Oryzias latipes: one gene and its partners. The protein of the gene in region 4 binds, or shares a complex with, the protein of the main gene of each other region. Links are inferred from orthologs where the notes say so. Each region holds a gene or a part of one and is shown on either strand. Other genes may lie near its edges. The genes, in order: ADP-ribosylation factor 1, AP-3 complex subunit mu-1, ap3b1, ap3d1 and ap3s1.

What was found.
Region 1: the proteins of ap3d1 (region 4) and ADP-ribosylation factor 1 are in contact, whole or in part, in a cryo-EM structure (PDB 9C5B), measured with the Homo sapiens proteins. The link is inferred for Oryzias latipes from reciprocal best matches to the Homo sapiens genes AP3D1 and ARF1. Residues at the interface, in NP_003929.4 of Homo sapiens: Lys48, Asp50, Phe77, Ile80, Glu81, Ser84, Asp107, Met110, Leu111, Thr112, Thr113, Asn114, Gln115, Arg117, Lys118; in NP_001019397.1 of Homo sapiens: Tyr35, Ile46, Pro47, Thr48, Ile49, Gly50, Phe51, Asn52, Val53, Glu54, Trp66, Lys73, Ile74, Leu77, His80, Tyr81, Gln83, Asn84.
Region 2: the proteins of ap3d1 (region 4) and AP-3 complex subunit mu-1 are in contact, whole or in part, in a cryo-EM structure (PDB 9C5C), measured with the Homo sapiens proteins. The link is inferred for Oryzias latipes from reciprocal best matches to the Homo sapiens genes AP3D1 and AP3M1. Residues at the interface, in NP_003929.4 of Homo sapiens: Lys29, Glu388, Gly389, Thr390, Thr391, Arg393, Glu429, Arg432; in NP_001307192.1 of Homo sapiens: Ser25, Ser27, Asp30, Tyr31, Glu34, Pro52, Asp104.
Region 3: the proteins of ap3d1 (region 4) and ap3b1 are in contact, whole or in part, in a cryo-EM structure (PDB 9C5C), measured with the Homo sapiens proteins. The link is inferred for Oryzias latipes from reciprocal best matches to the Homo sapiens genes AP3D1 and AP3B1. Residues at the interface, in NP_003929.4 of Homo sapiens: Lys352, Leu442, Ile446, Ser471, Tyr483, Trp487, Glu491, His517, Ala520, Val521, Gln524, Asn525, Lys528, Val561, Gln562, Ser563, Ala564, Leu566, Glu567, Gln569, Glu570, Arg571, Ser573, Cys574, Gln577, Leu578, His581, Ile582, Leu585, Lys588; in NP_003655.3 of Homo sapiens: Asn75, Lys466, Lys467, Gln470, Val494, Ala497, Ser498, Trp501, Leu531, Leu534, Gln535, Asn538, Lys542, Asn567, Tyr568, Asp569, Asp572, Arg573, Arg575, Phe576, Ile577, Gln579, Leu580, Lys586, Gly588, Ala589, Leu590, Ser591, Tyr593, Lys596.
Region 5: the proteins of ap3d1 (region 4) and ap3s1 are in contact, whole or in part, in a cryo-EM structure (PDB 9C5C), measured with the Homo sapiens proteins. The link is inferred for Oryzias latipes from reciprocal best matches to the Homo sapiens genes AP3D1 and AP3S1. Residues at the interface, in NP_003929.4 of Homo sapiens: Leu18, Gln19, Val22, Arg26, Cys60, Thr63, Tyr64, Gln66, Met67, Leu68, Gly69, Tyr70, Asp71, Ile72, Ser73, Lys87, Phe88, Thr89, Arg92, Ile93, Leu96, Gln100, His103, Tyr126, Leu132, Thr133, Ser136, Tyr161, Lys164, Lys165; in NP_001275.1 of Homo sapiens: Met1, Lys13, Pro14, Arg15, Leu16, Ser17, Lys18, Phe19, Pro22, Tyr23, Glu25, Asp26, Gln28, Gln29, Arg42, Asp43, Glu44, Asn45, Val46, Cys47, Asn48, Phe49, Ser80, Glu81, Ser82, Glu83, Leu84, Gly85, Leu87, Asp88.

The regions. Positions count from the first base shown.
Region 1 is NC_019877.2:22,744,898-22,749,601, reverse strand, and holds part of ADP-ribosylation factor 1, read left to right. Parts: 5' UTR 1-5; coding exon 6-153; intron 154-1,151; coding exon 1,152-1,262; intron 1,263-3,380; coding exon 3,381-3,505; intron 3,506-4,241; coding exon 4,242-4,403; 3' UTR 4,404-4,704. UniProt on the Homo sapiens protein: Small GTPase involved in protein trafficking between different compartments. Modulates vesicle budding and uncoating within the Golgi complex. In its GTP-bound form, triggers the recruitment of coatomer proteins to the Golgi membrane.
Region 2 is NC_019873.2:23,927,563-23,934,168, reverse strand, and holds the start of AP-3 complex subunit mu-1, read left to right. Parts: upstream 1-2,347; 5' UTR 2,348-2,538; intron 2,539-2,750; 5' UTR 2,751-2,755; coding exon 2,756-3,028; intron 3,029-4,124; coding exon 4,125-4,296; intron 4,297-4,390; coding exon 4,391-4,528; intron 4,529-4,615; coding exon 4,616-4,701; intron 4,702-4,793; coding exon 4,794-4,927; intron 4,928-5,844; coding exon 5,845-6,052; intron 6,053-6,255; coding exon 6,256-6,400; intron 6,401-6,606. Other genes in the region: adenosine kinase, read right to left, coding at 590-693. UniProt on the Homo sapiens protein: Part of the AP-3 complex, an adaptor-related complex which is not clathrin-associated. The complex is associated with the Golgi region as well as more peripheral structures.
Region 3 is NC_019870.2:3,664,209-3,670,885, reverse strand, and holds the start of ap3b1 (AP-3 complex subunit beta-1), read left to right. Parts: upstream 1-3,153; 5' UTR 3,154-3,480; coding exon 3,481-3,644; intron 3,645-5,705; coding exon 5,706-5,781; intron 5,782-6,200; coding exon 6,201-6,275; intron 6,276-6,677. UniProt on the Homo sapiens protein: Subunit of non-clathrin- and clathrin-associated adaptor protein complex 3 (AP-3) that plays a role in protein sorting in the late-Golgi/trans-Golgi network (TGN) and/or endosomes.
Region 4 is NC_019862.2:30,493,403-30,499,312, reverse strand, and holds part of ap3d1 (AP-3 complex subunit delta-1), read left to right. Parts: intron 1-561; coding exon 562-701; intron 702-4,255; coding exon 4,256-4,329; intron 4,330-4,416; coding exon 4,417-4,466; intron 4,467-4,686; coding exon 4,687-4,736; intron 4,737-4,952; coding exon 4,953-5,001; intron 5,002-5,910. UniProt on the Homo sapiens protein: Part of the AP-3 complex, an adaptor-related complex which is not clathrin-associated. The complex is associated with the Golgi region as well as more peripheral structures.
Region 5 is NC_019867.2:7,076,278-7,082,187, reverse strand, and holds part of ap3s1 (AP-3 complex subunit sigma-1), read right to left. Parts: intron 4,546-5,910; coding exon 4,454-4,545; intron 2,688-4,453; coding exon 2,576-2,687; intron 2,500-2,575; coding exon 2,428-2,499; intron 2,069-2,427; coding exon 1,961-2,068; intron 341-1,960; coding exon of another isoform or gene 305-340; exon of another isoform or gene 299-304; intron 1-298. UniProt on the Homo sapiens protein: Part of the AP-3 complex, an adaptor-related complex which is not clathrin-associated. The complex is associated with the Golgi region as well as more peripheral structures.

The DNA of each region.
Region 1 (4,704 bases), on a different chromosome or scaffold from region 4:
TCATTATGGGGAATGTATTTGCAAGCTTATTCAAGGGCCTTTTTGGCAAAAAAGAGATGAGAATTCTAATGGTTGGGCTGGATGCTGCTGGAAAAACGACTATCCTTTATAAACTAAAGCTTGGAGAGATCGTCACCACCATCCCCACCATCGGTAGGATTTCTGTTTGCAATGGATCGTTTTTCATGTCAAAACGCTGCATGGATCTGTTCATCCTGAAACTGTCTTAGTGAGAGAGATATTGTTAAACCCAAAAAGCAAAATGTTATATTAATGATATATAGGTTACGCCAAAATTGTTGTCGGGATTTTTTTTAAAAATTGCGTTGAACGAAGTCTGTTCTGATCTCAACAGAAACAGCAGTAACAGCAGTGGATTGCTAAAAACATTGCAATTTCATAACCTCTCTGTTTCTGCATACAATGCATTTTGCTGCAGTATTCTGTGCTTGAATAACACAAATCTTCTGGTTTCTCAATTAGTTTCTCCAAGCTGACACTGAACTCATCACTGTTTACCTGTATTTCATGGTTTTTGAGTTAACCATTGTGTGTCTAAGTCAATACTCCGGCTGTCTGGATAGAAAACATTTACACCGTCAGCCATCAGAGCTGACTTTCAGCTCGTTTCCACAAAATCTAAACATATTGTGGCCAAAGATTTTTACAAGGAGATGCATTTTGCTGCCTTTGATCCTAGTTATTCACGGCTGTTATTGTTGCTTCCTGGTGAATTCTTTCAGCTCGATCTGTGGATCGGCCCAGATCACATTCAGCTGGATGAGTTCAGATAAACGTATGAAAACGGAGACGTTTCAGCTCCACGTGGGCTTTTCTCTGCTTATTTGTAATATCTCTGTTCTGCACGTTTTGGTAGCTTTAGTGTTGATTTAAACGTTTAGTTAAAAATGTATTTTATCAGCCTTATCATCTGAGAACATTTTTAAAAGATTGAAAAAAATGACATTTAGAATGATTTAGTTTATGAATTTGTAATGAACAAAGATATTGACAATTAATGCTTTTAACAATGGAGATACTCTGTGGTAAACTTGAAATCCAATTAAAATGATAATTTATGACCTGTTTAATGTAACCTGGGGAGCCTTTCAGATCCGTGTCTGCCACTAAGCCTGTCCTCATTTGTGCAGGTTTTAACGTTGAAACGGTAGAATACAAGAACATCAGCTTCACGGTGTGGGATGTGGGCGGTCAGGACAAAATCAGGCCGCTGTGGCGCCACTACTTCCAGAACACTCAAGGTAAGGGCCGACTGTTGGAGCGCATTACTGCCTATAGGGGGCCTAACTTCTGCGCTGAAGATGATCTGAACGCTGCTGGACCGATGACTCATACTTTTGTTCAATTCTTCTAAGGGTTTATTGTTTGACTCCTCCTTTTTCCTGACATTAAAGTCGTCAGCAACTATTAGGGCTATTTGAGTTTTTCCTGCCTAGAAAATCAACAGTTGGTGTAACAGTTAGGTTTCAGAGACAAACCTCCACGTCTGGTTTTCCTCTCTATATTTCTCTGTCAGGGCTTTTCTTTTTTATTTTGTCAATTTTAATATAAAAACAAACGTTTTTAAGCTTTTGGGAACGACATCACCTTAAAAGTAGTCTATTTTCACCATGGCAACAAATCAGTGTTGTTGTTTTAGGCCCAAATCGTCACGCTTAGATCCTGGGATTAGACTATCTGAGTTAACGTAAGTCATTTGAAAACAGAAGAATACATGAAATATGATAACAGTGGTCACCTGGAAAAGGATCTCAGCCAATCAAGGCTTCGTTTATGTGTTGTGTGTGTGGACTGTGTATGTGCTTAGCTGTTGAAAATATCGCAGGTCTAGCATATATGGGACTAATTCTTGTCAACTGCAGTGAGCATCCAGAGAGGCTCTGGAAAACTCAGCAATCCTCACAGGTTCTGGGTTTCCCATGGAGTTAAACCCTCCTGGCTCAGTATGTGTGGAGTCTGTAACCGTTCATCCAGACTCTCCTGGAAAAAAAATACATACTTGCATGTCTGATAAGCTTTGTTGATTTATTTAAAATAGAACTACATTTATATAAATGAATGACATTTATTATTTACGTAGCAATTTACAAAAGTGCTGTACGATAAAGGACTGAAGAAAGTTTAAAACTAGGCAAATTAAGAACACAATTCATAAAATTACTAATGCAATAAAATACATAAAAGATCAAAGTAGTGCAATAATAATATGTTCAGATATTTGTGGAAAAAAGATCCGTTAAGTCTCGGGTCAGCTGGAGTGACTGAACGAAACATCGGACACCAGCACAGGGTTTGTGCCGAGCGGCAATCAGACCAAGAGAAACACGCTCACAAGGGAAGAATGCACCAGTATCTTTAAAATCACCTGTAGGGTCAGAATTAAGCAGTTCAACAGTGAACAGCACTAAAAAATGTGTGTGTTGTCAAAGTTACTGTTGTTTAGTCACAGAAAACGGGCAAATAAAGAAAGTTTGATTCAGGAACTGTCTTTTTAGCAGCTAACCAGTTCCAGTTTGATGGAACTGATTCTAGTTGACTTCTGATCGGCTTGAAAGCTGCGTCCAGGTAGACGTTTGGACTCCCACGGCTCGCTGTTCACAGAGCTTTTCCTCTCAAGGCTCTTTTCTACACTTCAACCTGCTGTTGTGCTGCCAAATGTTTTGTCTTCCATTTTTAGTCCTTCACTCCTGATGAAGACTTTTCCTTTTGCTACACTTACCACAGTGGGAAATAAAATAAACCCACTCTAATTTATCATGTGCTGATCATTTTGATCTATTTTTTTTATGACAAGTACTTTTTGTTTGTTTGTATATTATATCGGGTAAAAAATTACCCGGCAAAAGTGATGCTGCCATTTTTATAGCCAAAGTGGTCCACGGTTAACTAGTAATACCCGGTAACCTAGCAACGAGTTAAACTGGACGTTAAACATCCTGAAATATTTTTTAGAAGCAAAGCTTTTGACAGAATGTCAAAGATTCCCGACTGTAACTTTGAAGTGTCACAGCTGTCTGACTGTATCTCAGCCGCGTGACATTCACGTGTTTTATCACGACACTCGAAAGTCTGTTTCACCGCCGCCTTGTGGTCACAGTGGCGCATGACGTCCAAATGACAAAGGTTGAAGCAAACGCGTGTGTTAAACCCAAAGACTCCAGTTCAAGAGTTTCTATTGGATCCAGTCAAAGATTTCAGAAGTCCTCCAACATTTTATGTGTTCGTCTGTAGAAATAGCATCGTTACAAAGAGGCAACCTCCTCTTTCAAAGCCCAGCATAAAGGTTTTGTAATGCAGGTTCGATTCCTCTGTCTGGCTGTGTCTTTCTGAGCCGGTGGTCTCTGCCGCTTTCTTCGCAGGGCTCATTTTTGTGGTGGACAGCAACGACCGGGAGAGGGTGAACGAGGCCAGGGAGGAGCTGTCGAGAATGCTGGCGGAGGATGAACTAAGGGACGCCGTGCTGCTCGTGTTCGCAAACAAACAGGTGAGGCCGGACGTCTGCGGCGTCTTCTGTGGCGTGAAGAACAGGCGGTAGCCGCATCTCCATGTTTTCAGGATCATTGTTTTGAGGAGCGATGAAACCTGTTTGTTTGAACTAGGGCTGCACGATATGAGGAAAACTTGCGATATGCAATAGTAGAGATTAATATTGCGATAACGATATAATTTGCGGTATATAAAAAAAATAGAAAAATGCCAAAAACATCATTCCCATTTCATTAGAAACAGTTTAAAATTACACTCCAAATGACCCTCATCGACATAGGTGACAAACATCTAACATAATAGGCCTCCATCTGATTGGTCAACAATGGGAAGGCGTCCATCTGATTGGTCAAAGCATAAAGGGATTTATTTGATTCGTTAAAAGCGTCAAGCTGCCATAAGATTGCTTTAACACATTTTGGGTTTACGATTTATTGCGATATTCGCAGTCTTTTGCGATATGCCTATTGCAGAGCTGGATATTGCGATAACGATAAATTTGCGGTATATTGTGCAGGCCTAATTTGAACGAAGGCCATCTCTGATCAGGACCTTAGAGCAACAGTCAAGCAATTTAGTGAAAAAACTCTATTTAATGTGGGACATAACGTTCACTGCAGTAAACCCATAAAGGGGGGAATCTGGGCCAGCAGGTGTTGGCCAGAACCAGGTCCAGATGTGTTCTTGAGCGGAGCATTTGCTCCACCATTGCTGACGTTGTCCTGTCTTCATAGGATCTCCCCAACGCCATGAATGCTGCAGAGATCACAGACAAGCTGGGCTTGCACGCCCTCCGTCAGCGCAGCTGGTACATCCAGGCCACCTGCGCCACCAGCGGCGACGGCCTGTACGAGGGCCTAGACTGGCTCTCCAACCAGCTGAAGAACCAGAAATGATCCATTCCACCACTTTTGATTTTTGTTCTCTTTTTCTTTCCTTTTCCTGTTTCAACACGACGGCAGCACGGACCCAGGCCCCTCTGCCCCCCTGTCCCACCCGGTTTCCCGCCCTCGTGCTTTCCTTTAAGAACTTCCTTCATTCCCTCGCCCTGCTACCTTCTTCTGTCAGTACTCTAGGGGCTGTAGCCTGTGCTGCTTGTGTGTGCGTGTGTGTGTGTGTGTGTGTGACCTTGTGTGTTCAGAGTGTGTGGGTGTGAAGGCGCCTGTGTGCGTTGGCTGGGACTGGGAGTAACCCTGG
Region 2 (6,606 bases), on a different chromosome or scaffold from region 4:
CCCTGGCACGTAATTAACCCAGTTTGCGTGGGATTGCGCAAGCTGCCGCAAGACAGCAAGGTCTTGCCATTTAAGCTGCAATAGCACTAAAATACACACAATACAGCGATTTTAAGTGTAGAGAGAGAGAATCATACATTGAATTTCATTTATATCACAGTAGACTCGTTTTTGTTTTATTATTAGTGTGTTGCCAGGTGAAGAAGATGACCCTGCCCACCTTGCGCCCCATGACCGCTCATCCCTCTTATTCAGATAAGGAGTCGGCGCTTTCAAAACCTTACCGACAGCGTTGCAAAAGTGTTATCAAAACGTCTCCCAAAGAAAATAGTAGCGCCGTTATCTGCTACCGCTGCTGAATCCGCGGGTTAAATGTTAACATGCACGGAATCTACGCTGATCATTTCAGACTGCGACCTTCAGAAAGCCACTTAATAGTTTTAACTCACAGAAACTGTATCAAGCTGCATTTATTAATTGCATATTATGGTAAAACTTAAAATAAAATTGCCTTGTGGGTGCAATCAAGAACTACTAGGGGTCATGCTCCCACAGAAGTAGAATTGTTTTCTCGATCACCTGCTGTCACCTTAGTTCGGAGAGAGTCTCTTTGGTCGGAGAGTCTGCCTTCTTCTCCTTCTCTTCAACATCTGCAAGTTTAATCTTTTTAGCTTTGGGTTCATCGGACGCCATGGTGGTGCAAACACGTTGCTTCGTCTTCTTCTTCTTTGTTTATTCACGGTTGGCTCACAAATTTTAGGCGCATGTTCGCCACCTAGTGGTACGGACTGTGAATGTCGAGGGTCTAATCATATTTGTAGTATAAATCCATCTGTTTTAAGATATATTTCCTTTTTCCTTCCCCATAATTTCTCCATCTCAAAGTTTTCTAATAACCCTTTTTTACCTAAAACAACAACAACAACAACAACAACAGTAAATGTATAACTACAATCACTACTCCATATGCCATTTGTCTCCCATTTTATTTTCATCCTCAATAGTTGTACGCCCTTGTATTTGTTCAGTGTACTTCCTGCAATTTCATAATAAACGTTTCTATAGTCTGATACTCGTTGCACATTTTATAGTTAGATATTTTCCAATGATTGAATGATTGTAACTCAGTTGCATGTGGCCAAACCTGCATTCAAGTCTTTGACCCTTGCATCTAATTTTCACCATAACCCTTCCTCCTGCCTCCTCCTCCTAACTTTGATACCTTTTTTTTTCTTCAAAAATGTAAAAACAACATAAATAAAAGTAGCTATTTAATCTATAAAGCTGAGACAGATGATAGGTTTTAACTGCTGTTCTGTAGGTACTGGGTGTATATAATGTCTGATTTGAGCAATTAATTCAAAGGAATTTTGAGGTTTAAAGCCAAATGTAGTTTAATGAATGTAATATTTTGTTAATAAAATCAGGAAATGTAACCAATAAAATTGTGAAGTAACTTTTCATAATCAGTAAAACCATACAGGATCTGTTTTTCCATGTCAGGAAGAAATCGAGAAAAAATTGAGTCATTATATCATACTGACAATTACTTCCAAACTAATTTTTTGTGATCATAGGTCGAAATTAAATATATGAATGTTTCTTCACATTGTTTACAAAATCTACCCCCCCCCCATATTAATCCTTTTGTCTTTGCAATTATCTTTCGAAAATGCAGTCGTATCAAGGAAGTTTGTTGTTTTCCCTGGGTAGTGACTTGTAGGTAAGTTGTTGCTGCCATAGACAGTATGGTTCCTGCCCAACTCAGTTTAACGAGGAGCTGTAGTAGTTATAGGTGCTACTTTTTCTAATCATATACATACAATAAAATGGTGAATAAAACTTCGGAAACTTCCAAATACTGTCATTAATTGTGTTATACCATGGGGAAATGCGTACGTTTCACAACAGTACACGTTAAAATGCCATCAAAATACAAAAAATCATATTGAGTTTTCCAAATAGTTTTTCTTTAAAAATTTGTAATATTCTAACAAAACCTTTCCACACAATAATGCTGACATACAACAATGGATTAGCTATTTTAAAGAACACCGAAAACTGAATGGTCTGATGCGCGGCTTAGATCGTTGTCAAAGGTTGCCTGCAAAACTATACACCGGTTTTTTTAACCCACTGACTGACAACAATGAGAGCAAAACAGCTGTCCTCTGATTTTGCCTGATTAAAAATAAACCCACTAACTTTAAATAAAAAAATGGAGGGGAAGAATATTACACTTTATTAGATTATCGTGAATGCCACTTCAATAGCGTAAATATACCCGTTTTTCAACTATTAGTCTAGTAGCACAATTCAGTTCTTTCTGCTTACGTGTGCACATAGCTGTAGGCGTCCCCTGAGATGCCTATGAGATATACTTCCATATTGGCACCAACTGAGTATTCTTCCCTGTAGTTGAATCGAGTTTTTTCTTTTTTTAAAGCAAGTGATCTACAGCTAAAACTTTGTAAAAGCTGTAAAAATATTTCGCACTTTACATGTTGGTCTTCCTCTGACAGGATTAACGATAAGTTGGTAAGTATGATTCATATTTTTCTTTCTGTTATCTCACTCAGCACAATAAACTTTTAACTTTTCAGATAATATTTCAAAAGTCTTTTCATTTTTTTTATTTTTTACAAACTGTTTAGTTTAAGTTATTTGAATCATGTGACCGACATTGTGTAGTTATCGTGTGCCATCTGGTCTAAGAGAACCAACTCAAACAACAACGTTTCCTTCTGCAGCTGAGATGATCGACAGTCTGTTCCTGATTAACCACTCAGGAGACATTTTCCTGGAGAAACACTGGAAGAGTGTTATCAGCCGGAGTGTTTGTGATTACTTTTTCGAAGCTAAGGAAAAAGCAGTAGACCCAGAAAATGTGGCCCCTGTCCTGCAGACCCCACACCACTATCTCATCAGTATATACAGGGACAAGATCTTCTTCCTGTCTGCCATCCAGACTGAAGTGCCTCCACTTTTTGTCATCGAGTTCCTGCACAGAGTTGGAGATACATTCTTGGTAGTATTGATTTCTTACCTGAATGTCTTCTTTGTGATAAGTGTGTGCCAGATCTTAAGTGCTTCTAGTCAAGCTCTAGGAATAAGTTTCCTTCTTGCTGCACTTTCATGTAAGTATATAATATATATTAAAGATATAACTAAAAAGTCCTTTATAAGACATTCTTTGAGGCATTAGTTTGGCCAAATATAAGAATTTCAGCAGCAACCTTAACCTTGACTGCAGTTAGTATTTTGTGCTGACTTAAACCAGGGATCGTCTTTGGAATTATCATTTAAACCAATAAAAAAGTATTTTTATTTCAGACTCGAAGTGTAAATGTCAACACCATTAAAAAGAAACACAAGACATACAAAATAATTAAAATACAAGTGAATACACCAATTATAAACCTAATAAAGTGGCCAAACCAGTACCTCCAAATTGGGGACTGGTAATGCAAAGTGCTGTGCCTGATGTTGGTTAGGGTTAAAATGATTTTATTCTTGGAAGCGTTAAAGACGTTGTATAAAACCATAAATAAGATTACTTAAAAGAGCTTGGAGAGTGTTGACTCATATATCATACGTCTTTTTAATAAAATCCCATTATATACCCCATGCAGGCTAAATGGCTATGGAAGGATTTGTTAATACACGATAAAGATATTTTACTTTGTGACTTATGTTTTATTTTGTCTAAACTAAACTGTGTTTATGACGGAAATTGTCATGGGGCACTGTAAGAAATGTTGCTGAATGGGTTTCATGTTAAAAAAAGGAAGAATTGTCAGATTTCAGTTAATAGTAAATGTACCATGTGTACATGCAGGTATGGTGACAAAGCAGAAAAGGAAAAACACAAAAAATATCTTTGAAAATATTAAATTGATAGTTTTGTGTGCTTTAATGCAAATTAAAGGGATTTTATTAAATCTGCGATCCAAAGTAATATCAAAAGGCTCTTCAAGTGCTTAGAAGTACAGCACTCTCAATTGTGCTACACTCTTTCTAATAGAACACAGAACTTACGTTATTGCCCATATTGGTCTGCTGACGCTGCTCAAAGGGACAGCCACTGTTGTCCTTTCAGTAACATTTTTTTTTTTTTTTTGCAGGATTACTTTGGAGAATGTTCAGAAACTGTAATCAAGGATAATGTAGTGATTGTTTACGAGCTATTGGAGGAGATGCTCGACAACGGATTTCCGCTCGCCACCGAGTCCAATGTCCTCAAGGAGATGATAAAGCCTCCCAACATTCTGCGGTCAGTCGTCAATACACTAACAGGTAAACAAACGTCACAAGGAACATTGTGAACTTCTGGCTCTTTAAGTCACACTGAAGGGCAGCGTTAACATTACATTTCATTTGTTTTTTCCAGGAGGTAGCAATGTTGGAAACACTTTGCCAACAGGTCAGCTGTCTAATGTTCCATGGAGAAGGGCTGGTGTCAAGTACACAAACAATGAGGCATATTTTGATGTGATCGAAGAAATTGATGCAATTCTCGATAAATCAGGTACTTGAAAAGAAGAGAAGAATAAAGCAGTTGGTGGGAAATGCAGTTAAATGCACAGTAATACCGGTGACTTTGTTTACTGAACAGGGACAACAGTATTTGCAGAGATCCAGGGGGTCATTGAAGCTTGTGTGAGGCTTACCGGGATGCCGGATCTCACTTTGTCCTTCATGGTGGGCTCATTTCCCCCCATATCTGTATTTAGATCATCTGTGCACTTTTGTTCAAGTCTAAATTTTGCTCATTATTGATGTATTATTGACAGAATCCTCGTCTCCTGGATGATGTGAGCTTTCATCCCTGCGTGAGGTTCAAACGCTGGGAGTCGGAACGGGTTTTGTCTTTCATCCCTCCAGATGGAAACTTCACTCTCATGTCATATCAAGTCAGCTCTCAGAAGTAAGTGATTCATGGGGAGAGCAATGGGGTGACTAGGGCTGGCTATGGATTATGAGGAGGACTGCATATATGAAGATGTCATCCTATCCTCAGGTTATAAAAATTCAGAGCTGGATAAAAGTTTTCAACCACAAAGAAAATTACTTTCAATATACAGTTTAGCCTCTTAAAGCATAGTTTAAATTGGAGGTTGTTGCAATTAAATTTTGGCATAACTCTGTTCCTTTGTCATTTCTATGATTTTTCATAAACTTTATTTATAGTCAATTAAGGGTTTCATGTTGCAGAAAAACAACATTTTCTGTAAAAAATAAAATACAAATGCATGAACTTCAGTTTCAGAAGTATGATTTATAAATACTTTTGCTGTACTGTAAACTATGGAACCATGGTTGACTCATGTTTCAAAATAAAAGTCAGTACCGGAAATTCTTTTTCATTTTCTCAATAAAGCAGCGTCTGTTGACTCCATGATAAAATGAATAATCAATACGCCAAACAGCTTTTTTCATTTTCTATCTAAACACCGCTTATTCTGTGACGTAGTTAAAGCGATAATAAAAAGGGGGGAGTGCATTTTCATTTTTTCAATGATCAAATTAGATGTTTCTAATTGAAATTTGGATACCCATTTACTGGGGAACATTTTGAAATTGAAATGTGTTGAAGAAGAAAAACAAAGAGCCATTTGGCGGATTGATTGATTTTTCATTTTATTTTTGAGTCCTCGTACCCAGCTTTATTGTGAAAATGAAAAAGCATTTCCGGTAAAGACTTTCATTTTGAAATATGAGACACATGCTGCCATATAATAAATGGTTTATTTTACTCTCCTTTTTCATCTTAGCAGAGAATAATACTATAGTTCTATTGAGGGAATTTACCTAGACTGCCTTCGTGGCTGTTTTTCTCCTCAGTCTTGTTGCCATCCCGGTGTATGTAAAGCAGAACATCAGTTTCTTGGAGGCTGGATCTTGTGGTCGTCTGGATATCACCATCGGGCCCAAGCAGACCATGGGGAAAACGGTGGAGGGCTTGATGGTCACAGTCCACATGCCTAAAGCTGTGCTCACTGTTAACCTCACAGCCACACAGGGGACCCACACTTACGATCTTGCCACTAAGGTAGAAGACCTTTGTGTGCCACAAATGTCATGACGCAGTTTCAACAGTTTGTAATCTATGTCAGCCTTAAAAAAGTTGCAAATTAAAAATACAACTATTATTTTTAATCATGCCTGGATTTTAAATAGCCAGCAATTAGTGGATTAAAATGAAATGGCATTTTATTTTATTGTTCTCACTCTAAGGAGTTTTTTTTTCAATAGGTGCTGGTCTGGGATATTGGAAAACTAAACCCCCAGAAGCTCCCAAATTTACGAGGGAGTCTGAGTATGCAGCCCGGGGCCCCAAAACCTGAAGAGAACCCCTCACTCAACATTGACCTGAAGATACAGCAGCTGGCCATATCAGGTAACTCTCTTTGTAGCTGTTGAAATACTTTTTCCATGGAAAAGTATTGTTTTAACGACTTTCAAAGTTTGGGGTATTTTATGTAAGTCTTGGAGCTGTGATATATAACATTTAGATGTTAGGTGGAAGGCCATGACCTCAAAGACAATGAGACCATTCATCGACAGCATGAGGCATCGTTGTCAAGCTGTGACCACGGCTGAAAA
Region 3 (6,677 bases), on a different chromosome or scaffold from region 4:
TTCCAGCAGACATTTGCCATCAGACGTACTAAAGCAAAATAAAAAACTAAGAAACTTTTGACCCGTTAGAAAAACTGGCTTTTGAGTCCATGTGCGCTGTTTACAAATTCTTTTATTTGGTTGCATCTTAATGTGATGGAGTGCTGTGCTTTCAGGGATGCAAGACTTTGGAGCATTAGTTTTTATTTTTCTGTAAATGTATCTTTTTGTTTTTAAAATCATAGCTTTGAAAATGTCCAAAAAAAGTTCAGCATTTGAAAAAGAAAGAAACGGAGGTTTTTCCTTAGAATTTAATATTAAAACATCACATGTTACATTTTTAAGTGTGAAATTGTGTTTATTGTTGATCTAATTGTAAAAACTGAAGCCTCAGTTGATCCTTTTAAATCTTTAATTTTCACTTCAGGAAGATGCCACTAGGTGGCGACAAATCACCAGTTAAGACTTCTTTCGTCCTTCAATTCATATTTTGATGATTAGCTGCCAGAAAAGGCACTGTTCCTGCTATGATTCTGATTCTAATCCTGCTGTTATCTCACTGTTCAGCAGGAAATACGTTTACTTTGAAATTCACCTCAGCCTCTTTAAACTTCTCCACAGTTGCTGGTTTGAAACCTTTCTAACATTGGTCTTTTGTTTGGCAGAGTTTCAAGTTGTTTGAAAATAGACCTTTAAACTGTCTCACATGACTGGTCAGGGGGTCGGGGTCATAGTTGTTTTTTTCACTTTGATTTTTTTAAGCTAAGGGAAGAAAAAGCTCTCGTCTGTTAGCAGAAGACTGTTGAAGCTCATGTCAGAAATGCAGTTTCCTGCACTGAAAAGTCACAGCAGAAAACTCTACAATAAAAGCTCTTTTTGCCTCAATAATCTCTTTTTTTGTTTTTGTTATCAGGAATTTTAATTTCTTATTGTGGAGATTTGTTCTCTTGGATGTATGTTTGTATGTGTTATAACCTTTGTGTGGATGTTCTTGATGGGTTTTCATAGGAAAAAAAAGGCAAATAAAGATCAGAATTAAGTCTAGAAAGTCCATCAAATTTCTTCTCAGTTTGCTCATACTTTAAACGAAGATGGCCTACAATGAGATGACAAATATTGACAAAAATCTTTTTTCTTTCTTTCTGACATTTGTTGGGTGAAGTTTTGGCAAAGGGCGGTATTACGAGTCTCTAAAAGCCAATGTCTGCTTTTACTCCATTTTGGAATTGGGTTTTGTTTAAAGAAATTATTCTTAACAAGGAAAATGTTGAGGTTTTTTCAGTTTGTCTATGTTATGATTGTTTTTATAAAAATTAACAACAAATAAAGTTATCACAGATCAGATCAAGCAAAGGTCAGGAAAATGTTTTTAAAGTGTTTGGATGAGAAAGTTCAGTCACTTATTGGTTTTAATCATCTCATGTTTTCTTCTTTGCTTCTTTTTATGGTATCTTCTTATTTTGGGTAATACTGCCCTCCAATGAGCAGCTCTTGTAATTGTGCATCATTTGCTTCAATGGGCCTTTATAAAGCTTTTCTTAAACCTTTCAAAGTAAACTACATCTATATATATTATATATTCATAAATACAACATAAATTCCGGACTATAGAGCGCACCGGATTACAAGCCGCATCCTTTACGTTTTAAGCTAATTTATACACACATACAAGCCGCATGCGCCCACGTTTAAACATTTGTAGTGTCCGTTCTGCACGTCTCCAACAGTCTCAGAGAGGAAGAAGCAAACACAGATTCCATATTCTCCTTTCCAGCATTACAGCCTAATTATTTGACCACAAGCACAAACAGCCAAACAGCATGGAAGTCACTTCTGCTCACAGCCTCCTCAGTCATGGTGAGGAACTTTACACCCACGATTCCCCACTGCTTGGAGAGCAGGTTTTGGAGCGAAAAACTCAGAAAATACGTGAACGAATCAAAATGTCGCTTTGGGGTTGTTTTTTGTGAGCATTTAACATTATAATACACTGAAATACTCAAAAAGTAGATTTTTCAGGATATAGACCCTTTAAAGACTTGCTCTGATGAAAATGATATTTTCAGCGTTTTTTTTCACATATTTTTGTGGCAAATATCTGATGATAGAGGACACATACAAAGAAAATTAAAATGAAATGAGAAATTTCTATATTTAAATCTATGTGAATCAGTAGAAGACAAAAAAAATGCTGTAAAAAGATTCTAAGTGTGACGTAGAAGTTAGTGCAGCGAGCTCTCTGCTCCATTCCGATGCATCCACTTGTAGCTGCGTAGATCCGTGCACTTCTTCGTTTTCCTCGTCTGAGCCGGAATCTGGACAGCTGGATGGCCCCGATATTGCACGCCATTTTTGTTGCAGCGCTTATGTTAGGATGGGTGTGTGAGGGGTTGTGAGCTATTGGTAGAGCGTTTAAACCAGTAGTCCCGTGATGAGCTCTGCTGCCCTGCAGAAACTACGTCCCAGTGACACAAGTGTTTGTTGATTTTGTCTAAATGCGGCATAATCATTCTCATGAAAACCACTGAGAATGCTTTGAAAATAGATCAAAGGATGATCCGAGTTGGACTTTAATTGATTTTCGAGGGTTTTTATAGTTTATCGACAAACTCACACCGATGCATAAGCTGCAATAATCTTATTTTTTCCACTCGTTACACAGTTGTTCTTTCTTTGAGTCAGATTGTTAGAAGAATGTGTCTGAATTCCCTCTTTCACATCAAGAATGTGACGAATTGCACAGTGAGTAGACTGTAGGGTCACGAGAACTGGACGGCATTAAAAACTGGATAAACTTTCCCCCAGAAGACACGTCTCCTCACAGAGCGGGAAGGAGAAACCTGTGCCGTGGAAATCGACCTGTGAGTCAGTGAGGGTTGGTGTGGGGGTCAAACAAACCCTCCAGAGGAAGTGGAAGGAGGCAGGTTTTTCTGCTCCTGTTTCCTTACATTATTCCCACTACCTTTTATCTCCTGATGGAGGCCTGTCCTGCCCGCCTCTTCAGCCAAACCAGGCTTGGTATGCGCTTAGTGATTGCGCAGAGGTGGTGATGAAAAGTGGCTCCATGTTTACCCACCGGAGGAGATAAGGGCCTCCTTTTTCCCCTGGAGGGAAGTGACCACAGTCACATGTCCAGGCAGGGAGGGAGGAAGGGAGGGACGCAGGTAAGGAAGCCGGATCTCCAGAGCAGGAGGAACATCTGAATGAGCGTAGTCCAGCTGAGAGAAGGAGGTGTTGCCCTCGGGGATCAGGATGACTTGCTGTTTGTGAGTTGACAGGGTATCTTGTGACTTTTTTTTTTTTTTTTTTTTGGCAGAAGAGGAAGGGAGGAAGTGAATGACACAAATCACAGTGCAGCCTGTGCAGTTTTTGTCCTTAGTTCCCAGTTTTGAGCAGCTGTGATTGATTCGAGAAAGCGCTGGGGGAAGACGAGCTGAGCTTTCCATCCGTGGACTTCCAGCCAGCTCTTGCAGGAGAGTCGCTGCGGGGACGGCGGCTGGTATGGACCGCGGCTTCCCTTCTTTACGGTCTGAGGCGGCTGGAGCCGTCAGGACAATGCTGGCTTCTGCCGAGAGCTTACAGCTCACTCTGAAGCCTGAGCTCAGTCAGGAAGAGCAGGCCCTCACACACACCAACGGCAAACCAAAGGAGACGCACAAAGCCGGGTATTGCAGTATTTTCCTGAATGTACGAGTACTAACATCTATGCAAGCTTCTCTGCCAGAATCGTTTTCTGATAAATGAACCACGATATTGATGATTCTGGTGTGTTACTGTTTCCCTGGTGCCTTTTGGCTTAGACAGAACTGCCCTTGGGGTGGAAATGGGCTGAGAGTGAGCGAAAAATGATGCCACACAGGTGAAATGTCAAGGTCGTAGACCGATCGGTAAGGCTGTAGAGCAAAAATGTTCGTGTGCATTTTGTTTCTAAGGGGTGTGCTGCGGTAACGGGTCATAGAGAACATTTATATACCCCATAAGAGCTGCTATGGGGGAAATCGGCCGTTTGTTTGACCCCCACCAAACTTGTGCGCTGCACAAGTCGCCTGTTAGTGCTGTTCACGCAATAAGTGCGCGCTCTTTGTCCGCCTCCTCCAGTTTTGCCCATTTTTGGCTCGCAGACGGTCTCAGTCTAACCATAAGGGCAGCTGTGACTAAAACTTTTTAAATCACACCTGTATATGAAGCCACTTATTCTGCATCTTCGCCATGGCTGCTGTTTAGGACTCTACAGAGTCAATTCCATGGATGGGCAACCTGCGGCCCGTTATACTATTTAATTTATTAAATTATGCTGATAATCCTTATTAATGTTTTATTTTCCCTGCAATTCCCCATAGATGGTGGAGTACAAATATATTTACCTTTTGTTTTATCTGCAGGAAGTTGTGCTGCATCATGTAGTGTTGGCAGATTTGTTGTATTTCTGACGTTCACGTGTGTTTTTTGAGTCCGAAATGTAAATTCCAATGCCACACGAACGCAGCATTTCTCTAAGTTTGCATTTTTCTTTGAGGGACATCAACCCATTGGTGCATTTGAGACTAAAATGTGAACAAAAGCCACAAATTGTGTCTGTGTGTGTGTGGGGGGGGGCTATTAGCTATGTTTTTTAACATAGCTAATAATTTTCAATCAAAATTATTAGCTATGTTTTTTAACATAGCTAATAATTTTCAATCAAAATTACACCATGTTTTTGTCCAGATTCAATGTTTTTTTGTTTGGACACCCCTTGGAAAACTTTTTTCTAAAGACAGCCAGATTCGGGATACTTTGGGATACTTTGAGATACTTTTTATTTCCCCACATAGAACAGAAATGTCTTTAAATACATTTTTACCAAAATTACTTTCATATTTGAAAACAGGAAATAGAATAAAGAGAGAGTCTGGTTATTAAAGCCTTTTGTCAACATTAAATCTGGGTTCATATGAAGTGGTAAGCATTAGTCACTATTAAGTGCTCAATGTTCTGAATTTAAATCACGTAAAAAGCTAAATAACACAAATAGTTAACTTATTCAGAAGCACAAACCACTGCTTTCGATCATAGAATCAAATGAATCAGTTTGGCCCTTAAGGCTCTGAATGTCAAGTCGCCCCAGGTTTACAATAGTGTGGAGCGTAATTTAGCCAGAAGAAAGTGCCGGAGGGGCCCGCATATTATAGATCTTATGACAGGAGACTGTGGGCCGGTAGAAATTTGAACGAGGGCCGCATTTGGCCCCCGGGCCGGACTTTGGACATGCCCGTCAGGTGGATTACCTAAAAGCGCCACGCATCTGCTCCTGTCAAATTTTAGAACCCTTTAGTCAAAAAGTTCCCCCACCCCTGGTGGGCCTCGGAGAAACGAGGGGGTTGGAACACGGCCACTAAGGCCACCGTACACCTGGAGATGTGATGGTCACCTGTCATTTGAATGAAAAACTGTGATAACATAACTGAGAAATGTTATGCCTCAAACAAATATAGGTCTGGATGAAGTTGTCTGTGTCATAAAAATGTCATTCCGTGCTCTTGAGCAAAGCCATAAGCTGCTGTTGAAGGCATTCAGTGTCTCCTGAAGAACGAGCGCGATGTAATGCCTTAACAGAGGAGATGGTGAAGCTGTTGGGCAGGAACTCCCCGTTGCAGTCATTGTTCATTGTACCGTCCAGAGAACGGTCAAAACTGATGAGAATGTTGTCCAACCGGTTAAAACCAGAAGTGTTTGTCTGTCCTCAGGAATGAAGACCTGAAAGAGATGCTGGAGAGCAACAAGGAGTCCCTCAAACTGGAGGCCATGAAGAGGGTTGTTGGGGTGAGTGCATCATGGGAGGAAACTGATGGAACAAATGCACTGGAGCCCTGGAATGTCCTGGAATGCATGGAGACAACATTTTTTCTACATTAGAAGTCCCTGAACTCTTAATCCCTAAAACAGTTTGTGATTTGTCTTCTAAACATTTCATTAAACACTGCAAAAACTGATTTTCAACAGCAACACAATCTTTAAGAAAATATGTCTTAGATTTTTTTTCCTTAGAATGCGAATTTTCAGTGATTTTTCTTAACCCCCCCCCCTTTTAAAAAAAAAAGAATGTTTCACTTATTTCTAGGGGGCCTGTTTTCGCAGTGCATTATTTCTAACAGCTCCTTTAGGATTTGTGTTATAAAACCAGATTAAATCTGAAATTGCCAATATCTGCTCTGTCTTTTTGTTTTAAAATTTCATTTTAGCTCATCTCTAAAGGGAAAAATGCATCCGAGTTGTTTCCAGCTGTTGTGAAGAACGTTGCGAGTAAGAACATCGAGGTAAGAGAAATACTTCCTTACTGTGACACAACATGCGGTGAATGACTATGTGTGGGATTTCCTCTTCTATGGTTGACTGTAGGGACTGATGTCATTCAGAGGCTTTTGTTGGTTCAGTTTGTGTGTATTTGACAAATCGATTTTAGCGATTAATTTGAATTTGTTGATCTAGAAGATAAATTTTTGAGAAAAACAAGACTTTATTTCCCCAGCATTCTGGTTTCTTGTGCTTCCGTTGTTCGGAGTCAGGTTAGCCTGCACGCTTCTCGCAAGGGCCAGACATGAAAAAAGCATCTAGGAAAGAGGAGCTACTTCCACCAGGCTGAGAGGAAAAAATAAAAATAAAAAGCTTTTTCCTTTTATTGACTGTATTAAGAGAACTGGACTGAGTGATCCCTCCTC
Region 4 (5,910 bases):
AATGAGCTACAAAAATGACTCGTATTTAATAAAAAAGTTCTCAAGTGTGCCAAAGTAAATGATCATATATATGGATATGATTTACTCTGAAAGGCTTAAGAAAAGCAGGATAGGGGCTCACCAAACACATTTGAGGTTGGTTGAAAGGAAAGAAGAATCACTTTCTTTACCAAACGGCCCAAAAAAATGATTTTCTTCATCTTTTGCTTTTTGTTGAGCCTTTTTCCTGAAGGGATCAGCACCGCTGCCTCCATCTAATCCCCCCCAAACACATTAAAATTAGTGCAAGGCATAAAGATTTTCATTTTGGGTGGTAATAATTTATCTTCTAAATATAAACCTGAAACCTTTCCTTGAAATAAAAGTGCGATTGGTCTATTTCAAGGTGCTTGACATCGACTTGAAACTGAACTGTTCTCACTTCTGTAGTCGATGCTTTGCTGGGGGGGGGGGGGGGGTCATGAATTATTTAGTCTGTGAGAAGAGACTGTGCAGTATTAGTATGATTACAAACATTCATTTGCTCTGTTTTCTTGTCAATTTCCTATTATTTTCTATTAGGGGTCCAGTCAGCTGCTGTTAATGTCATCTGTGAGCTGGCCCGTAGAAATCCCAAGAACTACCTTTCACTGGCCCCTCTTTTCTTCAAACTCATGACGTCTTCTACTAATAACTGGGTTCTCATTAAGATCATCAAGCTGGTAAGTTTTCCTCATGGGGAAATCTGCCTTTATAAGCTGAAAACTGGTCAAAAGTTTTCTGTTAGCTGCCGTTAGCTTCACAAAGAACTCTGGGTTATCAGAAATTAAGCATTTAGACACACAGGCAGGGAAAGTCTGCAGGAATTTGCATCCTTTTTTAGTTCAACAGAACGTTTATGTTGTCCAAAGACTTAGAGATTTCAAGTAATATCAGCCTAAAGTTTTCTTTAAAGTCCCACTCTGATCATATGTTGATCTTCTGTGAAAGTGTTTCCTTTTAGGCAAAATAGAAAACTTGTGTCGTTTTCTAGGACATAGTGACATAGTTCCTGCAGAGCGGCTGAAGTTCTTTTAGAAAGTCACCCGACTTGTGGGTGGGAATGTTGGCGAGGAGCAATTTTCGTCTGATTCACAACAATTTGAATATAGAAATACTCTCTATGAATATATAAATGCAGTTTTAAGATTAATTTTCTTTATTCAGTGGGGCCAAAAGTATTTATTCAGCCACCAATTGTGCAAGTTCTCCCACTTAAAAAAGATGAGAGAGGCCTGTAAGTTTTATCATAGGTAGACCTCAACTATGAGAGACTAAATCAGGGGGAAAATCACATTGTCTGATTTTTATTTATTTTATTTTTTTTTAAAGAATTTGTTTGAATATTATCGTTGAAAAATTAATTTGGTCAATAAAAAAAGTTCAACTCACTACTTTGTTATAACCCTTTGTTGACAATAACAGCAGTCAAGCGATTTGGACGTCTTCACAAACGGTGGCTGGTATTTTGGTCCATTCCTCCATGCAGATCTCCTCTACAGCAGTGATGTTTTGCGGCTGTTGCTGGGCAACACGGACTTTTAACTCCAGTGGGGTTGAGATCTGGAGACTGGCTAGGCCACTCCAGGACCTTGAAATGCTTCTTATGAAGCCACTCCTTGGTTACCCGGGCAACGTGTGTTTGGGATTGTTGTCATGCTGAAAGACTTAGCCATGGTTCATCTTCAATACTGATGGAAGGAGGTTTTCACTCAAAATCTGACCATACATGGCTTCATTCATTCTTCCCTTTACACGGATCAGTCGTCCTTGTCTCTTTGCTGAAAAACAGCCCAAAGCATGATGTTTCCACCCCCATGCTTTATAGTAGGTATGGTGTTCTTTGGATGCAACTCAGCATTCTTTCTCCTCCAAACAGTAGAGTTCTTACCAATAAGTTCTATTGTGGTTTCATCTGACCATAGGACATTCTCCCAATCCTCTTCTGGATCATCCAAATGCTCTCTAGCAGACTGTAGACGGTTCTGCACATGTACCAGGGGTTGACATAGCCCAGAAATTTGCACTGGCCCACAGGGCCAGTAGTTTTTGAAAGTTACTGGCCCGACACCGCGCACAGCGAGACCCGCCGCTCCGCAGGTGCTTGCAACTTTAGGGGGGTCTGGGGGCATGCCCCCCCGGAAAATTTTAATATGGTGCAATTTGGTGCATTCTGGTGACATCTAGCACTTATTTATACACTTTTCAATGACTAAAAATAGAGCATATCAAACTTAAATCTGCTCTAGTCTGTTTCAGATGTTTTGAAGAGAGCACTGCAGTGTAGTAGTTAACACTAGTTAAGAAGTTTTCATGCTGCTTCTAATCACTGCTATTTCACATTTGTTCCTAATCAATAGTTAAGAAGTTTTATTGACTTTTTTGCCCTGACTGCCTTAAGGTTCTGCTTTTTGTTACTGTTGCAAAGTTACATTTACTTTTTAGTTACTTTAGTTACCTAATTAAATTAAATAATTGAAAAATTAAATACAATTAAATTACTGAGATCATTCAGCTAACTAGAAATACTTACAGTGTTGTAAAGAAAAACAAAATTAAGTAGTTTGACCTTATACTCCATTTGAGTCTGAGATTCAGGTATTTTTAGTTGCCTTTGATTCTTTGACATTCAGCTTCAAGCTTAGTGCATACAGTTTCATCTTCAATGCATTCATTAAATATCTTGCTGTCCATAGCACTAATTCCACCCGTCACTCCATCTAACATATTCCTATCTATTCCTGCCATGTCTTCCGTCTCTCTTCAGTGACGGTGTTGGATTTATGATCATTGCGGTGAAAAACCACCAGGGGGCGCGCTGATATGTGTGTCAGTTTAAATATATCTGCCTAAAATGTAATATAACCCACTGGCTTGTTCCTTCGTTGTTGCTGTTTAACATTGTTTAGTATTGAATTGTTACATTCAATAAAGTTTGAAAAAAAAATTGAGTGAGCGCGTGCCGCGTGGTGCTCAGCAGTGACAGCCGCGCGCCCAGGGGGAGAGGAGGAGAAGAGTGATAAAAGGTTTCCCATAGAAACCCTTGAAGTCTGAACACAGGACTAGCAGAAAAAGTGAATTATAAAGACGAGGTAAATCTACACGTTTTCGCAAAATATACTTTATTGTAAAAGGTGAAAAATGTATTAATTGTTAGATATTTTAGTGGCCCGAGCGGACAAGTAAAAAATAAAGTCTTGTGGTCCGTACTGCTCGAAAAACAGGACCGGGCCAGCGGACAAATGGCTATGTCGAGCCCTGTGTACTGGCTTTAGCAGGGAGACACGTCTGGCCCTGCAGGGTTTGAGTCCCTGGTGGTGTAGTGATGTTTGTTACGTTGGTCCCAGCTCTCTGCAGGTCATTCACTAGGTCCCCCGTGGGGTTCTGGGATCTTTGCTCACCGTTCTTGTGATCATTTTGACCCCACGGGGTGAGAACTTGCAGAGAGATGGAGGGAGATTCTCAGTGGTCTCGTATGTCTTCCATTTAATAAAAATTGCTCCCACAGGTGATTTCTTCACACCAAGCTGCTCACCTGTTGAAGATTCAGTTTTCCCAGCCTGGTGCAGGTCAACAATTTGGTTTCTGGTGTCCTTAGACAGCTCTTTGGTCTTGGTCATAGTGGAGTGTGACTGTGTGAGGATATGGACAGGTGTCTTTCTATAGATAACCAGCTCAAACAGGAGTCATTAATACAGGTAACCAGTGGAGGACAGAGGATCCTCTACAGAAGAAGTTACAGGTCTGTGAGAGACAGAAATCTTGCTTGTTTGATGGAAAAAATACTTATTTTCCACAATAATTTACAAATAAATTCTTTACAAATCAGACAATGTGATTTTCTGGATTTTCTTTTCTCGTTTTGTCTCCCAAAGTTGAGGGTTACCTATGATTAAAATGACAGGGCTCTGTCATCTTTTTAAATGGGAAACTTACACAATTGGTGGCTGACTGAATATTTTTCCCCATTGTATATGTCCTCGATCATCAGAAAAAGGCGACAAGAACATGTAAAAAAAACACAATTTATATGGGAGTGGGTCTTCAAAAATGTTCAAGTTGAACCTGTTTTTTTGTTACCTGCACTCAGCTTCTTGAAGAAAGTCAGGGTCATCAGAGTGGAGTGGGAAATCTGCATTAATTAGTATAATTTTTTAGCACAGCAGAACATTTCTGTTGCTTCAAAGCCTTAGAATGATAGCAGAATGAAGGTAATTGATCACTATAATCATTGCAGTTTGGCGCGCTCACTCCGCTGGAGCCTCGGCTGGGGAAGAAGCTCATCGAACCTCTGACCAACCTGATCCACAGGTGAGCTCAAAGCATCAAAGCAATCCAGCAAAATGTATAGAAAGAGGTGTAATAATTAACCCTCCTGTCCCTTTTGCCTCCTTCCAGTACCTCCGCCATGTCTTTGCTGTATGAATGTGTTAACACCGTTATTGCAGGTCAGTACTGAGAACCATTTAGTAAATCATCCAGTCAGATTTTTATGTTTTATTGTTAAAAATGTTATTTGTTTACTTGCTTTTTTAATCAAAGTTTTCATAAACATTTATTTAGTCAAAAATAGATATATTTTTTAGGCTATTTACGCTTGAAGCCTCTTTTTTTTTCTGTCCTAAAACATGATTTCTTGTTGAAACTGTGACGCTTTTTGTGTTGCAGTGTTGATTTCTTTGTCCTCCGGGATGCCCAACCACAGTGCTAGTATCCAGGTAGGTTCCCCACGTTCTCGGCCATCATCAGATCATAACCCTTCCACTCCAGTCACTTTCTGCCGATGACGCTCCTTTAAACATCTAAACACCACAGAGAACTTTTCACTATTTGGTTCAGCCGGTTTTGTCGAACAGAAGAGCCGCTGGTGTGGAAAGGTTGACGGGGATGTTAATGCCTCTGGTTTTGTCTTCTGCTCTGCTTTCCTCCCACAGCTCTGTGTGCAGAAGCTGCGAATCCTTATCGAAGACTCGGACCAGAACTGTGAGCCCTCTGTCAATGCCTGCAGTGTGTCATTTTCTCATTGTCTGCGTGTTTCTGTCTATGGAACAGTCCACCCCTTTAGACGACATGGAATTAGATCCCCTGACCCCGGATAACTCGAACATTACCTCTTTTCTTCACGTAATCAGGAGACCTGCTGGAAAGCCATCATACTTACAGAGCATCTGCAAACATCCCACAGCAGTATGCTGGAGAAAAGGAAGACCTTTCATTTTAATTTGACGTTTCAGCAGCTTCCCAAATGTCTTAATCCAATGTCAGGTCTGGCTCTAAAAGTCCCAAAGACTTTTCTGTTTTCAGTCATTCGAGTTATCTGGACCTCCATGGTAGATGTGTGTGGAGTAGACTGCAGACGTCTGGTGTTGGTAGAGCAGATTAGAGACTTGTAGTTTCAAGCTTAGTTTGACTTGTAATCCTGTTTTTTGAGCTTCTGTTAGACATTTTTCTGCCCGTTTAATGCAAACCCAGTTTTGTACGGGTCTCGATTTAGTAACTTCAACTGAAGCAGGAATCTCACTGAACCTGTGAACACTAGCCGACTGCCTGGTGAGCGTCTGGTCACTAATGGGCAGTTTATCCACGGGTTAGAGGGCGAGCAAGATCCAAACCAGTTTTCCGTCTTTTAGTAAATAGAAATGATCAGACTGTAACTGGAAAACATGCAAATTTCAGAAATCCTGAGCACAAATCGTTGACTTTGGAAAGAGATCCAGTTGATGTGAGGGCAGCATTCTGCTTTAGCTGCTAACAAAAAGAAGAAACGGACTCAACTTTCTAAGGGATCGACACCTGAAGTATACTACCTTACATTTCTCTAAAGAAGAAAAACAAATGGATGGAAGTGGGAAGAATATCTGTAAAATGCTTTTTGGTAAAGTCAGGAGTTTT
Region 5 (5,910 bases), on a different chromosome or scaffold from region 4:
TAAAATGAAATCTTGCAGTGCTCCTGCCTACAAAGCATTAACACTAATCTACAGGATGTCAGTTTAGAATTTCTTATCAAGATTATTGTGTTTGGCACAATCAAATGCCTGAGTATTATCCTGTATTTTTGGATTTTAGAGAGAACCTGTAATATTTTTGGGTCTGTTGTGAAAGATTCCTTCTTCTTGTTAGTGGCATCCGTCTAGAATTGCATGGGGTGGGGGTGGGGGGCATGAGGAGAGACTCAAAGGGAAGCTAAGTTAGAGTTAGGGTGTTTGGTTGTAAATTTAGCAGTACCTGTGTCTACCTGTCCTGCCTGGTAGACTGAAAGATAAACGTCTGTAAAGAGAGAGAAGAATGGAAAGAACTGGACAGGGTCAGGAAAAAAGAGGAATGAGGAATGTTAAAGCAGGTTAAAGTAATAACAGTTTTATCTCCACAGAAAGTGATAGGACCCATCATATGCCACATCTGCAAACGTATTGCTGATACTTTCGCTCAATGCTGAAGTTTCTTTTGGTTCAAACACATTGCTACGAAAGATTCAGGTAAATATTAGATATGACGTCTGCCACTAAATTGGATTTTTTTGGTTATTGATGAGACTTGACAGACACTGTTCTATGAAAAGTGCCTGGTTCTGAGCGTTCTGTGGCCTACGATAGGTCCAGAAGGGAAGAGACAGAGCAGCTACGATGATACAAGAACAGTAAAAAAAAACTCTCCTTACACAATTTCTGTTCAACAAGAAGCTTTTGTCGGGTTAAAACAAACAGTGCAGCTCAGATTTTACAACTCTACAGTTAGCACACACAGCTGAACAGCCTCTAAAAAATCTAATAATACAAACATTGACTTTAAGCTTAGAAAAAACAGTGTTTTTTGGACTATAAGTCACACTTTTAGGAGGAATTTATTTAACAAAATACGGAAACAAAATCGGACATTTCATCTTGAAAGGCAAATCATAATAATGGAAGAGATAACAAATAATAGAATGAATATGTGCACGCTTCACTACCATAACCGTATTTAGCTCCATAAAACATAGGAGGAGTTGAATAAGTTTCTAGTATATTATCGCAGTAAATGAACAATTAATAAGATAACCGCAGCATGACAACAAGTCAGCTAAACCCTTTATATCACTTTAAATCCCTAAATCCTTTAAAGTCTTCATCTGTCAAGCTCGGAGTAAGACTGAGCGGCGTTTCTTCTGTGTTACGGTCAGTAGTAAATACTGACACACTTGCCTACAGTTCCCTCTAGCGGTTGATTTATAAAAAATCAAATGTAACTATTCTCCGAAAAATACGGTACACATTTTGTAAAGGGTCGTTTCTCAACAGGAAATAAAGTATTTGCAAAATGAATGTGCAGACATTACACAACGTGCTTGGACATATTTTTGACTCAGTTTATCGATCAGAGGCTCTAATCCACACTGAGCGTAGAAAAAGAAAACCATCATTTAGTGAAATTGTCTCTGGCTGTCTGTCTTTCCAATAGAGAAATGAAAGCGGATTTCTGACCGAAGCTGCATGGAAAACAAACAAATGTACTTGCAGAGCACAGATATCTGAGCGAAGACTTTGAAAATATCGGCTCAAGAAAAGAAAATCTAAATCTCCAAACTTTCCCCTCAACGTGATGAGTATGTAGCTGAATGTCATTCAATGGTAAGGAGGATTTAATGGTCACTGATTCTGGAGGTGAATTGATCTGTTTTTGTATATTTGGGTTAGAGTATAGGATCTACTGAGGTTTGAGCTGCGTTGAGAGCATAGAAGCAGTCAAAGAAGAGGCCAGAAAAGAGCACAAACACTTGAGAGAAGGTGGGGAGCATCCACAGAGTGACCAAGAGTAGCATGCAGAGTGCAGCGTACACACATGCCTGCATACTGTGCAACATTCCTCAGGGAGGCCGAGGAAAGAACAAAGTGACAGATAACCTCATACCTCAGCTTTCTCCATCTTGTTCTGGGCGTCCACCTGTGTGATGATTTCGTTCATGTTGGTCTCTAAGACCATTCCACCCATCACCATTTCAGCAAGAATATTGTGGACCTGCAGAAATAAACCCAAATTACAAATCATCAATCATTTAAAGTTTCTACAAGACTTCCCTGAGTTTCAGCTCGTTTCAAACAACACATTTTTTTTCAAACTTCCTTAATAAAATGAAAACAGGCTAAACTTCATTTTGGTTTAAAGGTTTCTCTATTTGTGGAGGCTCTAAAGCAGGTATGGTATTTATGGTTGACTCAAAAGTTCCTGCAGTTGCGAAACAGAAAGTCATCAGATAATAACAGGCAATAATAACTACGGGAAATTATTACAAAGAAAAAGGGTCAAAGGGATTGGTAGGCTGAAACAAACAGTCTAATAAACGTGTTACATCACAGAGAGGTGAAAGATTTTCCTACCTTGTCTACATGGAAAATTAAGTCAAGTTCACAGACGTTTTCAAAGCATTTGTCCAACGTTTCTACAAATACCTGACAAACAAAGGGAACAGTTAGAGAGAAGATAACTAAAGAGTATACATTCTTCTGAAAGTCCGATTTATTTTACCTGGATTAAGTCTAAAATGCCTAATTCGCTCTCTGAAGAGTCGACACAAAACACAAAGTACAGCGTGGCATAGTGTCTATAGATCAGCTTGTAGTCCGAACCCCCGATCAGCCTGGAACACAGAAAGAACACGATGACAGCGAAGGGAAAATATCTAGCAAACATTCTTGACGGCACATTTCCTGAAACTCTCTTCAGGTTTTATCACCATCTCTTGGAAAAGAGCATAAAATAGGTAATATTCTTTAAAACAAGCAGAAAAAAAAAACACTCTTATCAAAAGCCCAACCTAGTATAATAAGGTACCGTAAACATGTTACGACAGAATTTTGAGGGAGCAAAAAAAAACAGGATGTTTTCAGTCAGGCGTATAAAGATTGCCCACAATATATCCGAATAGCTGGAGATAAGACGGGAAGAGATAAAGCTTGTAACTGGGTTGGACAAGAGCTCCTCAACTGTTTTCTTCTCTCACAAAAAGACTTGTAACTTTTGAGAACTCACTAAAGAGAAAATCCAGTGTTTTTTGGAGTATTTGTTTGCTAAACCTATGTTTTTTTATTTATTATTAAGTGTTTATATAATTTGTCTGAAGTTTTTCATTTTATTATAAAGAGAGAGCAAGAAAAGAAAAAAGCTTTTAAGCCAACAAAGCAAAGCGTTGCAACTCAGATTCTTGTAGACCCACTCTGATCATCTTTTAATCTGTTGTTAAAGCGTTCCCAGTGAGAGTGGTCTTTTCATTATGATTATGCCGTTTTCTAGGACATAGTTTCAGCAGAGCGGCAGGAGTTCACCCCAACCTAACATGATCGGTGCAACAACAAAGGGAGAGAAGTATTGGAGATGTCCAGTTCTGAGCCAGATAACAGCTCAGACGAGGAAAACAAAGATGTACATGGATCTATTCATCTACAAGAGGATGCATCAGAATGAAGTGGAGCAGTCGTATTTTCTACATCACAACTACAGTGTTCCTCCGCCAATTCGGGTTTCAATATTCGCTGTTTCACGTGTTCGCAGATTCCTTTTTTTTTTTTTTTAATCACGTGACTCCTCTGGTTCGTCACAAAAGCTCAGACAACTCAAGATGCTTGTATGAGACTTGTGCTGCGGGAATTTCTAAGGAGGGGAGCGGGGAGATGAAGAGCCAGCTGGCCAGTCGGCCTCCCCCCGGCTGCGGAAGAATATTTCCCAGCGAGCAACAGCTGGTTCCAGAATCGCTATAACCAAAGTTTGTGCCCCAATGGCATCAGCTGACTCAAAAGCAGCTTGAAAATATCCTAATACGCTGAGGAAGTATAATTATCATCTGGATGAATGAATGATGGATGAAACCAACCTCTTCTGGAAGAAGATGCCCTTTGGCACTTAAGGAAGTACGGGCTCCTGCTTTCTAGGCATAGAGAAACAGACTGGCACTCCTAATGTGCATTATAAAGTACGCTACAGTACAGTCTATTACTCTGAATGACTAAAAAAACCATGTTGAGCAACGTTCTTTAATAAATGTTTCACAGAGTATCAGAAATGTTTCAGAAGGGTTTTTGATGAGTTAAGATTGCAGCATATTGGCGGAAGTCTCTGGTCCCTAACCTCCACGAATACGCGGAGAAAACTGTTCAATCTTTTTCAAACAGCATCTTTTTCATCTGCTCCCGATTCACAGCAATTTGAATTAACAAATACTCAAAGATACAATTTTACGCCCAATGATCTTAATATATGTCCATCATTAGAAAAATGCTACAATAACATTTAAAACACCATAAAAAAATCCTCAGAGTGGGTCTTTAACTTTTTTTTTAAAACAGCATTTTGAAGATTATGTTCCTTTGCTCCTTTTTCATTTCCACATCCTGGCATCGCAGAACTTACATTCCTCCTTCTAAGAAATTGCAGACGTTTTCATCTCTTTTTGAGACCAAGTGGAAGGTTTCCCTTATGATCTGCTGCTCCGTGTCTTCATTCTGCAAGATAAAATGGATAAATAGGCAACATAAACAACAAAATAGACAATAAATAAATCTTGTTCATGTATAAAACCTTGTTCATTTGCATAAAGCCAGACCGAGCTGGAAAAAGAACATGTCACTCGAGTTTTTTCTGCAACTTGTTTAAATCACCAGTTATCATCCAGTCAGACAGAAAGCAGGAATTATGACAAGCTGACACAATGAATAAAGGAGCTAAAGGCATTTCTGTTTGACCTTCTGAAAAGGTTTATAACATTATAAAAATGGAGATAAAAGCACAAAATAAACTTACAGGGAATATATTGCTAAAGTGATATTTATTTCGAAAACTCAACAGTGAGGCCGTCGGCTGCTAATGTCCTCTCAAAGCCTTTATGAGCTATTATTTTCTCCTTTGGCTCACCACTGGAGAAAGAGCTGTGCTCGCTGCAGATGCCTGCAAGTCTAAAGACACCATGTGACACTTGGCATGAGACCTGCAGCTTTAGCCGTCCTCACAGTTTCATGACACCAGCCAGCGCAGCAGTGAGGCTGCTGCAGCAGCACACACATGAACCCTGAACTACTTTTGTTGGTTTTGCTAGTCTTTAATTGAGTCGGAGTCAGGTGATCTATGATAAACAGCTGGTTTTCTGCAATCTATAACTGAAACACACGTCAGCTTATTTAATTTGTTTTTAGTTTTTTTCTGGCTGAACAATTTGTTAAAACTGTGAACAAATGCTTTAAACACTAATGCCTCTCATAGGTTGGCAGTTATAGCTTCTCGGACGGGAATTAAGAGTCATTCAATATCAGGTTTACATGCAACTAATTCATTATTCATGGCCTTTCCTTCATTCCTGTGAGTAAAAAGGAGACACTACCATTCAGCTTAATATGGTAGTGTTTTATAAAGTTTGTTTCCATGGTAATACACTGCTAAGAAATAGAAAAAGATGCATTCTTAGCATGTTGCCTTGTAAACTCATTTGAACACAACAGCAACAATGTATTAGAAGCCTAGCAAAATGTAATTTAGACCTTTATGGGTGGAAACATTGTGTTTGGACGAGATAATGGAAAGATAATGCTTTCAACTTTACTGTTTTAATTAGTTTTGCTCTGCCCATCTAGAAACTATTCCCTTTATGGTTTAGTTTAATGGCTGATGCAACCAAACTGATTGTACCAGAATGCATTTACAGTTCGATCACAACATGTGAGCATTTTCTATGGTCTGTGCCTGCACAGCGACTTCAGCAAACCAAACAACAAATGTTGAACAGCTCATTGTAGTGACCATGTGAAATATTATATCCCAGCAGCCACTAAGCCAACACCTCAGCCTGGAATATGGCAGATGGCGATTGTGCAGCT